2 linked regions of the Yarrowia lipolytica genome follow. The protein of the gene in region 1 binds, or shares a complex with, the protein of each later gene. Links are inferred from orthologs where the notes say so. Each region holds a gene or a part of one and is shown on either strand. Other genes may lie near its edges.

What was found. The genes of interacting proteins can lie anywhere in the genome.
Region 2: the proteins of YALI1_B05454g (region 1) and YALI1_F09563g are in contact, whole or in part, in a crystal structure (PDB 2PJW), measured with the Saccharomyces cerevisiae proteins. The link is inferred for Yarrowia lipolytica from reciprocal best matches to the Saccharomyces cerevisiae genes VPS27 and HSE1. Residues at the interface, in NP_014403.3 of Saccharomyces cerevisiae: Asp349, Leu350, Lys355, Ile358, Tyr359, Phe361, Ala362, Val365, Glu366, Met368, Lys369, Ser370, Arg371, Asn374, Leu377, Glu378, Gln383, Ala386, Val389, Phe390, Lys393, Leu396, Asn397, Ala399, Leu400, Lys403, Ala404, Lys406, Tyr407, Thr409; in NP_011861.1 of Saccharomyces cerevisiae: Val292, Phe293, Gln295, Lys296, Ile299, Asp300, Leu302, His303, Leu306, Asn307, Ala309, Ser310, Ser315, Asn316, Leu319, Tyr328, Val331, Thr332, Arg335, Val338, Met341, Leu342, Tyr345, Ala346, Glu348, Lys349, Met352, Leu353, Leu355, Arg356.

What each region holds. Positions count from the first base shown.
Region 1 is NC_090771.1:543,694-547,776, forward strand, and holds YALI1_B05454g (uncharacterized protein), read left to right. Parts: upstream 1-1,750; coding exon 1,751-3,448; downstream 3,449-4,083. Other genes in the region: YALI1_B05438g (uncharacterized protein), read right to left, coding at 1-192, 251-271; YALI1_B05483g (uncharacterized protein), read right to left, coding at 3,763-4,083. UniProt on the Saccharomyces cerevisiae protein: Component of the ESCRT-0 complex which is the sorting receptor for ubiquitinated cargo proteins at the multivesicular body (MVB) and recruits ESCRT-I to the MVB outer membrane.
Region 2 is NC_090775.1:954,760-959,020, forward strand, and holds YALI1_F09563g (uncharacterized protein), read left to right. Parts: upstream 1-1,566; coding exon 1,567-3,624; downstream 3,625-4,261. Other genes in the region: YALI1_F09598g (uncharacterized protein), read right to left, coding at 3,925-4,261. UniProt on the Saccharomyces cerevisiae protein: Component of the ESCRT-0 complex which is the sorting receptor for ubiquitinated cargo proteins at the multivesicular body (MVB) and recruits ESCRT-I to the MVB outer membrane.

The DNA of each region.
Region 1 (4,083 bases):
GAGAATCTCCAGCAGCTCGACGCTGATGTCGTTTCGAATGATGTTTTCCACGCGGATCCGGGCACTGGCCTCCTTGCCTGCTTCCAATAACCCTGCCATTTCTCGTCGTTGGGCTTTAGCTAGTGCCGTCTCCTTCTGTTGCACTAGTCGCAGACGGTTCACCGCCATTTTCAATTGCACCTTGAGTCGGGTCTGTGTTAGTCAGCTGCTTACGCGGTGGGTGGTCACGTGCGCCTCAGATACTGCTCACCTGAACGGATGCTGTTGCCATCTTGGTTGTAGTTGTTAGTGTCGCAAGTCGTTGATAAGATAACCGGGGTGTGGAGATGTATGTATGGTAGTGGCGATGGTGATGCAGATGGGAGGTGGCCTCGAATCTAATTTTTGGGTGGGGCGATGGATGGAGTGTCGGGTGGCGTAGACGAACAAGTGTGGCGAAGGAGCCGACCGTTCAAACCGCCTGAGCGGTTGTTTTGTGTGGGATTTACTTTCCGGGAGAGCGGCTATTTGACATTTGCCTGCCAAGAAAGTCTAGGGGTGGAGTCAACACTTGGTTCTACCAAGAAAGCCGTCTAACGATGGGTTATTACTTGGTTATATCAAGAAAGTCGTCTAGTATTGGGTTATTACTTGGAGGGTTCAACTAACTGGAGTTTGCATGAAGTTAGCCCGTGGGAATGGGGAGACTGAATTGAAAGAGAACAAGCGATGTACGGATTGTCCATGTCGAGATCATCAGGCCGACTAAATGAAACACCATTGACCCTCAAGCAGCCGAGGAGTGTGTACCAGTGATATGAGTTCACGAGTCTTACCACAGCCTTGTACCGTGTACGAGTATGTACGATACTAGGGCGGTAGAAGGGCGGTGGTTATGAGGTATTCACATGTCTCGGCAGCTCAATGGCAGTTTTATGGTGAATGGAATGGAACAGCGACTTCTTATCAATGTTCAGAATGTCGACACTTGAGAAAAATAGCCAATCAATCTCAATCCAGTTACTATACTGTCAGATCTGAGAAGAAGCATGCTTGTCCAAGCTACCACGTCCCCAACAACAGTACATACACAGTAATACAGTACCAGTACTCGAGGCAACTACAATAATTGCATTAATTGCACGAAGAAACTACATCAATTCACGATCAGCACTCGTTTGTACTCGTACTGACGTAGACAACTGTACTGTCTCGTATGACCGACAGACCCGACTCAGCATGTCAGACAGGGCATGAAAGGGTCTGCCACCACTAGATCGGGGCTCGGACAGTTCGAAATGACGAAAACCAAGTGATTTCAGGCGTGACAATCAGTTTCTCCCGTCAGATCCGCCCTCCATCTGTCTCTCCTACTTGTACTCGTCCTCATACTCGTCCTCATACTCGTCCTCATACTCGTTCTCATCCATCTCCAATCTTAGATCTTTCAACCTTGATCATGGTAACCTAATCAAGGGTTGGAACCAGCTTAGTCAAGAGTCCCGACGCTGACAAAGCACGTATATACACATACACACATAAAGGACCGGTGCAAAGTGCCCACGAGGATCTCCTCCTGTTCTGCTCACCTAACCCACCAGAGTCCCTGCCTCGCCCCTCGACCACATCATGGCACATTAATTAATGCACTGGGATGCAATCGGGTATTTAGACTCTGCCTAACCTCCCAATTGAATATCGCCACTGGAAACCTCGCTACTCTCTCTGACCACCGCACACCACCCCCCTCCCCCCATCCGCAACAAAGAACATGTCTTGGTGGAGCTCCACGCCTTCTATTGACGAGCAGGTCGAAAAGGCCACGTCAGAGTCACTGCCGTCGGGCGAGTCCGATCTTGCGCTCAATCTGGAAATCTGCGACCTGATTCGGTCCAAAACCGTGCCTGCAAAGGACGCCATGCGGTCGCTCAAGCGACGGCTGCTCAACCGCAACCCCAACGTCCAGCTGGCGGCGCTGCAGCTCACGGACGTGTGCATCAAGAACGGCGGCTCGCATTTCCTCGTCGAAATCGCCTCCCGCGAGTTTGTCGACCCCCTGATGGCGATTGCTCGAAACGACGACGCAAACCCCGAGGTGCGACAACGGGTGCTCCAGCTGCTCCAGCAGTGGGCGGTGGCGTTTGCGGGCCAACTGCAGCTGCAACAGGTGGAAAACGCAGTGACACAGCTTAAATCCGAGGGAGTATCCTTCCCCTCAGCCTCCCACGATAACGCCGCAGTCACCTCCACCTTCATCGACACAAAAGCACCGCCCGAGTGGATAGACAGTGACGTCTGCATGGAGAGTGGCGTGGCATTTTCGTTCCTCAACAGAAAACACCACTGCAGAAACTGTGGAGGCGTCTTCACCCAAGCCTGTTGCCAAAACTACATCACTCTGCCCCATTTCGGCATCAACGTGCCCGTCCGAGTCTGCAATGGCTGCTTCAAAAACCTCAAGAAAGGCAAATCAGACGCTCCTATCCACAAGCCTGTTCCAGGAGCCACTACCACAGCCCCCAGTTCTGCCCCCCCAGCAAACTCAGCACCCAACGACGACGAAGACGACATTCAAAAGGCCATCAGACTGTCACTACAGGAACAGGAGTCCTACAAACCCCCTCCTCCTGCAGCAGCAACCTCCAACGACGATGATGAAGACATGAAGGCTGCCATTGCAGCTTCCCTTAGAGACATGGAAAACGAGCGACAGACTGGACAGACCTCTGCATCTGCCGGTGGCTTGTCTTCAGCTTCCACTACAGTCATGGCTCCTTCCCTCACAGATCTAACAGCCACAGAAGAGTCTAACATCAATCTGCTGTCTCTGCTTGTTGAACGCCTCAAGGGAGAACCCCAGGGAACGATTCTGCGGGAACCCAAGATCCAGGAGTTGTATGACACCGTCGGCAACCTGCGACCCAAGCTTGCCCGAACCATGGGCGAAACCATCTCCAAGTACGACTCGTTGGTGGATATGCATGCTAAAATGACCACCGTGATTCGGTATTACGACGCGCTGTTGGAGGAGAAGCTCAACCAGGCTTACACTAATAGACAGTCGGGAGGATACGCACCACAACCTCACTTATCCCACCAGATGACGGGACAGCCGCCTCACTTGGCCCCTCATCTGACTGGCCAGATTACTGGGCAACCCCATATGGGTTACCAGCACACCGGACAAGCTCCCTATCTGACCGGCCAGGTCACTGGACAGGCGCCATATCTCTCTAACCAACCCACTGGCCATCTCACAAACCACTACACTGGGTCGGCACCCTCTGCTCCTCAATATGGGGGTCCACCAGCACAAAACGTCTACAACGCACCCAGTTACCAGTACTCCGGTGCCCCCGAATACGACTATGCATCTTCTCCCAGTGCCCCTAGTGCCCCTGGAGGTCCTAGTGCGCCCAGTGCTCCCGCCCAGCCGAAGGAGGAGTCTGCCCCTCTCATTGAATTGTAGCATCACTAGACTAGCCGCCGTGGATTTAATATTAGGCCCTGCTTGCGGTTACATTCCACATACTGTTTTAATCTGAGCATTCATTGGCGAGGACGTACATACCGTCCTAATTGTATCAGCGCATCTCGAGTACAGTACTTGTTCTTGTAACATATCGATGTGTACTCGTAATTCGTATATCAAGTATCTCTTTAGACGTTTAGAGAGTCCATAAATAAGGGGATTGGTAACGAACGATGAAGAAAATAGCCCGCTTCGCTCACCATCTGTTCAGACGACAGCCCAACAACTCGCTTTGTAGGTTTCCGAGTTATCTACGGCCCATGACTGTTGCCCTCCTCCTTCTCCGCCGAAATCTCTTCTCCTTTGAGATTCTTCTCCACGTCCTTGACAATCTCCTTGAGGTACTCCACGTCTCCCTTTCGGCCAATGATAGACACGGTGTTTTTCTTGAGCTCCATGTGCGGGTACGAGCCGATCTTGATGTCCTTCTCATTGACCTTTTCTTGCAGACGTCGCAAGTAAGGGGCCATGACACTCTCGGGCAGATCGGTCATGACAAAGAAACGGATCTGCTGTCGGGCCGTGTCCACCTTCTTCTCCAGATCGGGCTTGATTCCCTCCAGCAGCCGGGT
Region 2 (4,261 bases), on another chromosome or scaffold:
TATACCGGCACTCGCTTTATCTCTCCTCTCTCCTCTGACCACGCTTTATTACCACCATGTAAAGAGAGGGGTGCATGAAAGGAGGACGTGTCACAACACACTAAGGCATGGGCGGAGCGATGGCAATGGGCGCCCCCGGATCTTTTGACGTCTGAGGAATCTGTCATATCTTGCTACTTGCATCGCTCCTGTCTCTTGATCGATTATCGTGTTCCGTGGGTGGGCTAAAGTCAATGTGCCGAGGTTGGGGCAGTGCAGCTTCACAGTATGTATTGTACCGGTCCGTGCGGGCCCATACAAGCACCGGCCACCGTTGGCTGCAGAAAAAAACCGTTTGATGCACAATGTAAAGTTGGGGGAGGAGGGGGAAACGGGGTCGGCGACGACATAATGGAATAAATATCAGACGTCCACAACATAGGTGCGTTTTACTGTATAGGTGCGGTGCGTTTTTATGTATTGTATTACGACTTCTCGAACGGTACATGCGCTATCAAGCTATTGAGGGACGCTATTAAAGTAGCAGTTAGACTAACTCTAGATGAGACTATGATACCGTAGATCCCACCGATTAAACACAGCCCTGCTCATGTGTAGATAGATAAATGGTCATGACCAGATCGCTCCGCCCCCTGCATGCACAGAAGGATCAATACGAGTAAAGCTGTATGTAACGTGTACCTGTATTCGTATAGTATTGCTCTTGTCGCAGACTGGTATCATACCATCATGGCTACAGTCTGTACTGCACCAGTTCACCAAGTAATTAGTGGAGGTATCTTCTTCACTGCTTGCTGATGGCATCTGAGGGTATCTGATAAAGAGTAGTGATACCAGTTGAAGTACTGTAGCAAGTCTCTTGATGCAATCAGATACTTGTCTTGTACTCCACCGCATCAGACATCACTATCTGACGGAGTAGTTGTCTTCGTGCTGACAGTCATGTGCAGCATACAAGTAACCAGGCTATGTATGCTATCGTTACTATTTCTAACTTTGGTTGAAGACATAAACAAAAACCAATACGAGGCTTCTACGATACAAGAAACCGGTGCTTGCTATTGTATCTATAATACCACAACTATTGATCGCAATGAGGTATCGTGCAATCTGTTAAACAACTAAACAAGTAAACACGCACTCAGTACAAGTCGTCGTTCATCCTCTTCAATGGTTGTTTTCTCACACCGTCGTATAACCGTACTCGCAATTATTGCCTCCCCCCAATCGCGGGAATCGTACCCCCATGCACCTTACCGTTAGGACGCATGCCGCTCAGCCTCCACGATAGCCTTTGTGTCTCGAAATAGCTACATTTGCGAATGTACTTATAGATAGCCAGCTCGGATCTGTGGTGGTCAATCAATTTCCCTAACACAGCTGACCAGCAGATCCTCCTTGCAGTAACACACGGCTCTACTTCCACAAAGTAGTTAGCCGTCCACATTGCATCATCACTACTCCATCTCACCTCCCAGCAACTTTATTCAGTGGCAATAGTCGCTGCTTGTAGCTACCAACCACACCTCATAGAGGTAACCGCACCCACTCACCACCCTCACAGACATGTTCAGATCGTCGGAGCCCGTGTCGCCACTGGATGACGTGGTCACCAAGGCCACGGACGAAAACCTGACGACGGAAAACTGGCAGTACATACTCGACGTTTGCGACGAGGTGAACAACGACCCCGAAAATGGCGCGAAAAACGTCATCACCAGCGTCACCAAGCGTCTCAACAAGAAGTTCGCCAATACCCAACTGTATGCGCTCACGCTGGTCATCTCGTTATCGTCCAACTGTGGCTCCAAGATGCAGCAGGCCATTGCGTCCAAGGCGTTTGTCAAGACCCTCATGAAGCTGGCCAACGACTCGGCCGTCCACAAGAGCGTCAAGTCCAAGGTGCTTGAGGTCCTGGAGCAGCTGACGGACGAGTATAAAAAGGACCCTTCGTTGCGGCTAATTGAGGAGGCCTACGACGAACTGAGCAGGAAGAAGCCCGATCTCAAGGCCCCCGCCAAGCCCGAAAAACACAAAATCACCGAGCAGGAGCGCCAGCGAGAGGAGGAGGAGCTGCAGATGGTGCTGGCGCTTTCGCTGAGCGAAACAAACACCTCTGGCTCATTTCAGCAGCATCACCAGACCAACTCTCAGATCCAACCTCCTGTTAACAACTCTCATTTTGCCACGGACCCTCATCAGCAACAACAGCAGCAACAACAGCAGCACAACCAGCAGGATTACGGGCAGCAGTCCAACAACGCCAACACCAACAACAACGCTCCGGCAGTCGAGGACCCCACACCTACGGTGGCCACGGTGTCCCGAGTCAAGGCCCTGTATGACTTGAACGCCACAGAGCCCGGAGAACTGTCTTTCCGAAAGGGCGACATAATCACAGTGCTGGAGTCAGTGTTCCGAGACTGGTGGCGGGGATCTCTGCGGGGCCAGGTCGGTATCTTCCCACTCAACTACGTGATGCCTATAGCCGAACCCACTCCCGCGGAGATTGAAAAGGAGGCCCAGGAAGAGCTGTCTGTGTTCTCTCAGAGCAGAAATATTGAAAAGCTGCTGGCACTGCTGTCTTCGCAGGACGCTGCCCGGCTTAATCTCGCCGAAAATGAGGAGCTACAGTCCTTGTACCACTCCACCCTTGCCATCCGGCCCAAGCTGGTCAAGCTAATCGACAAGTATGCCCAGCGAAAGGACGACCTGGTGGAGCTCAACGAGAAATTTGTCAAGGCCCGAAGAGTGTATGATGACCTTATGGAGGCCAGCATGCCACAGTATGGAGGAGCTGCTGCAGCAGGTGGATATGCAGGTGGTGCACAGGGTGGAGCTCCTGCAGGATATCCTAGTGCTCAGGGCGCTCCCGCAGGTTATCCAGGTACTTCAGGTACTCCAGGTACTCCTGGTTACCCGCCTCAGTATCCTCCCCAGCAACAGCAACAACAACAGCAACAGCAGCAGCAACAGCCTCCTTATCCTGTTCAGCCTCTTCAGACACATCAACAGCAGCCACAGCAGCAGCAACAGCAAACTCCATACCCCGTGCATCAATACGATAACACACAGGCGCATGGAAGACAGGGATCTACTGACTCTGGAAGATCACAGCGCATGTATTCCCAGGGAGGCCAGGGAGGCCAGGGACCCACAGATCTGCATCCCGCGACCACCGGAGGAAGTGGGTACGGATTCCCTCCTCAATATGGGGGTGGAGCACCTTCTGCTCCCTCTGCTCCCCATGGAGGTGCTGGAGGCCCCGGAGGCCCCGGAGGCCCTTCTGCCCCTTCTGGAGCCCATTCTGGAGCCCCCTCTGCGCCTCCTAGCCATGCTCCGGCTGCTTCTGCTCCTCACGGCTACGGATCTCCTTCTACAGCTCATTCGGCCCCCTACGGAACCTCCCCCGCGGCCTCTGCGCCCGCCAGACACTCGCCATACATCAATGGCACGCCCACCAGCAACCTGGGACAGCAATCGCCGGTCACCAGCCAGTCGATCCCTATTCCCAACAACAACAACCTGGCTGCTCCACCGGTCCAGGGTCTGTACTCTCATGGCACCTCACCGCCTCCCCCGGTGCCCAATGCAGGCCCCCCTCCCAGTAATTTTTACGAGTAGTTAATGAGCATATGACAATACGAGTGTGCAGTACATACTTGTAGACGTATCCGTGGGTCAATCTGAGTAAGTGTGTGTTAAGGAAACGTCCACTTTTGACGATATCTGTAAGTACAATCAACGATAGAATACCGTTAGTGCCAACGATTCAAATGGGTCCATTGCGTGTAAGTACATTTGTTCCAATACCCTCGACATAGTGGGTCTGGTGACTACATCTCATTAGCTACAATACAATCAAATCATCAATAAATCAAGTGTCAGAGTTTGCACCCTTCTATATGTTGGCAACGCATCCGTCTACTCGTTCTGCTTGGCAAACTCGTTGATAAAGTCCTTGAGCAGCTCGGCGCTCTGGACAGTGACGGCGTTGTAGTTGGAGATTCGGATACCTCCGACGGATCGGTGGCCCTTGAGACCAGTCAGACCCTTGGCAGCCGCCTCCTTGAGGAACTTGTCCTCGAGACCCTCGCCATGGATGGTGAAGACAATGTTCATCTTGGACCGGTCGGCCACAGCAACAGGCAGGTTGTACAGCTTCTTGTGGGCATCCAGAGCGGCATACAGAGAAGCAGCCTTCTCTTCAGCCTCCTTCTGCTGCACCTTGAGGCCTCCCTTCTTGATGAGCTGCTCGCTG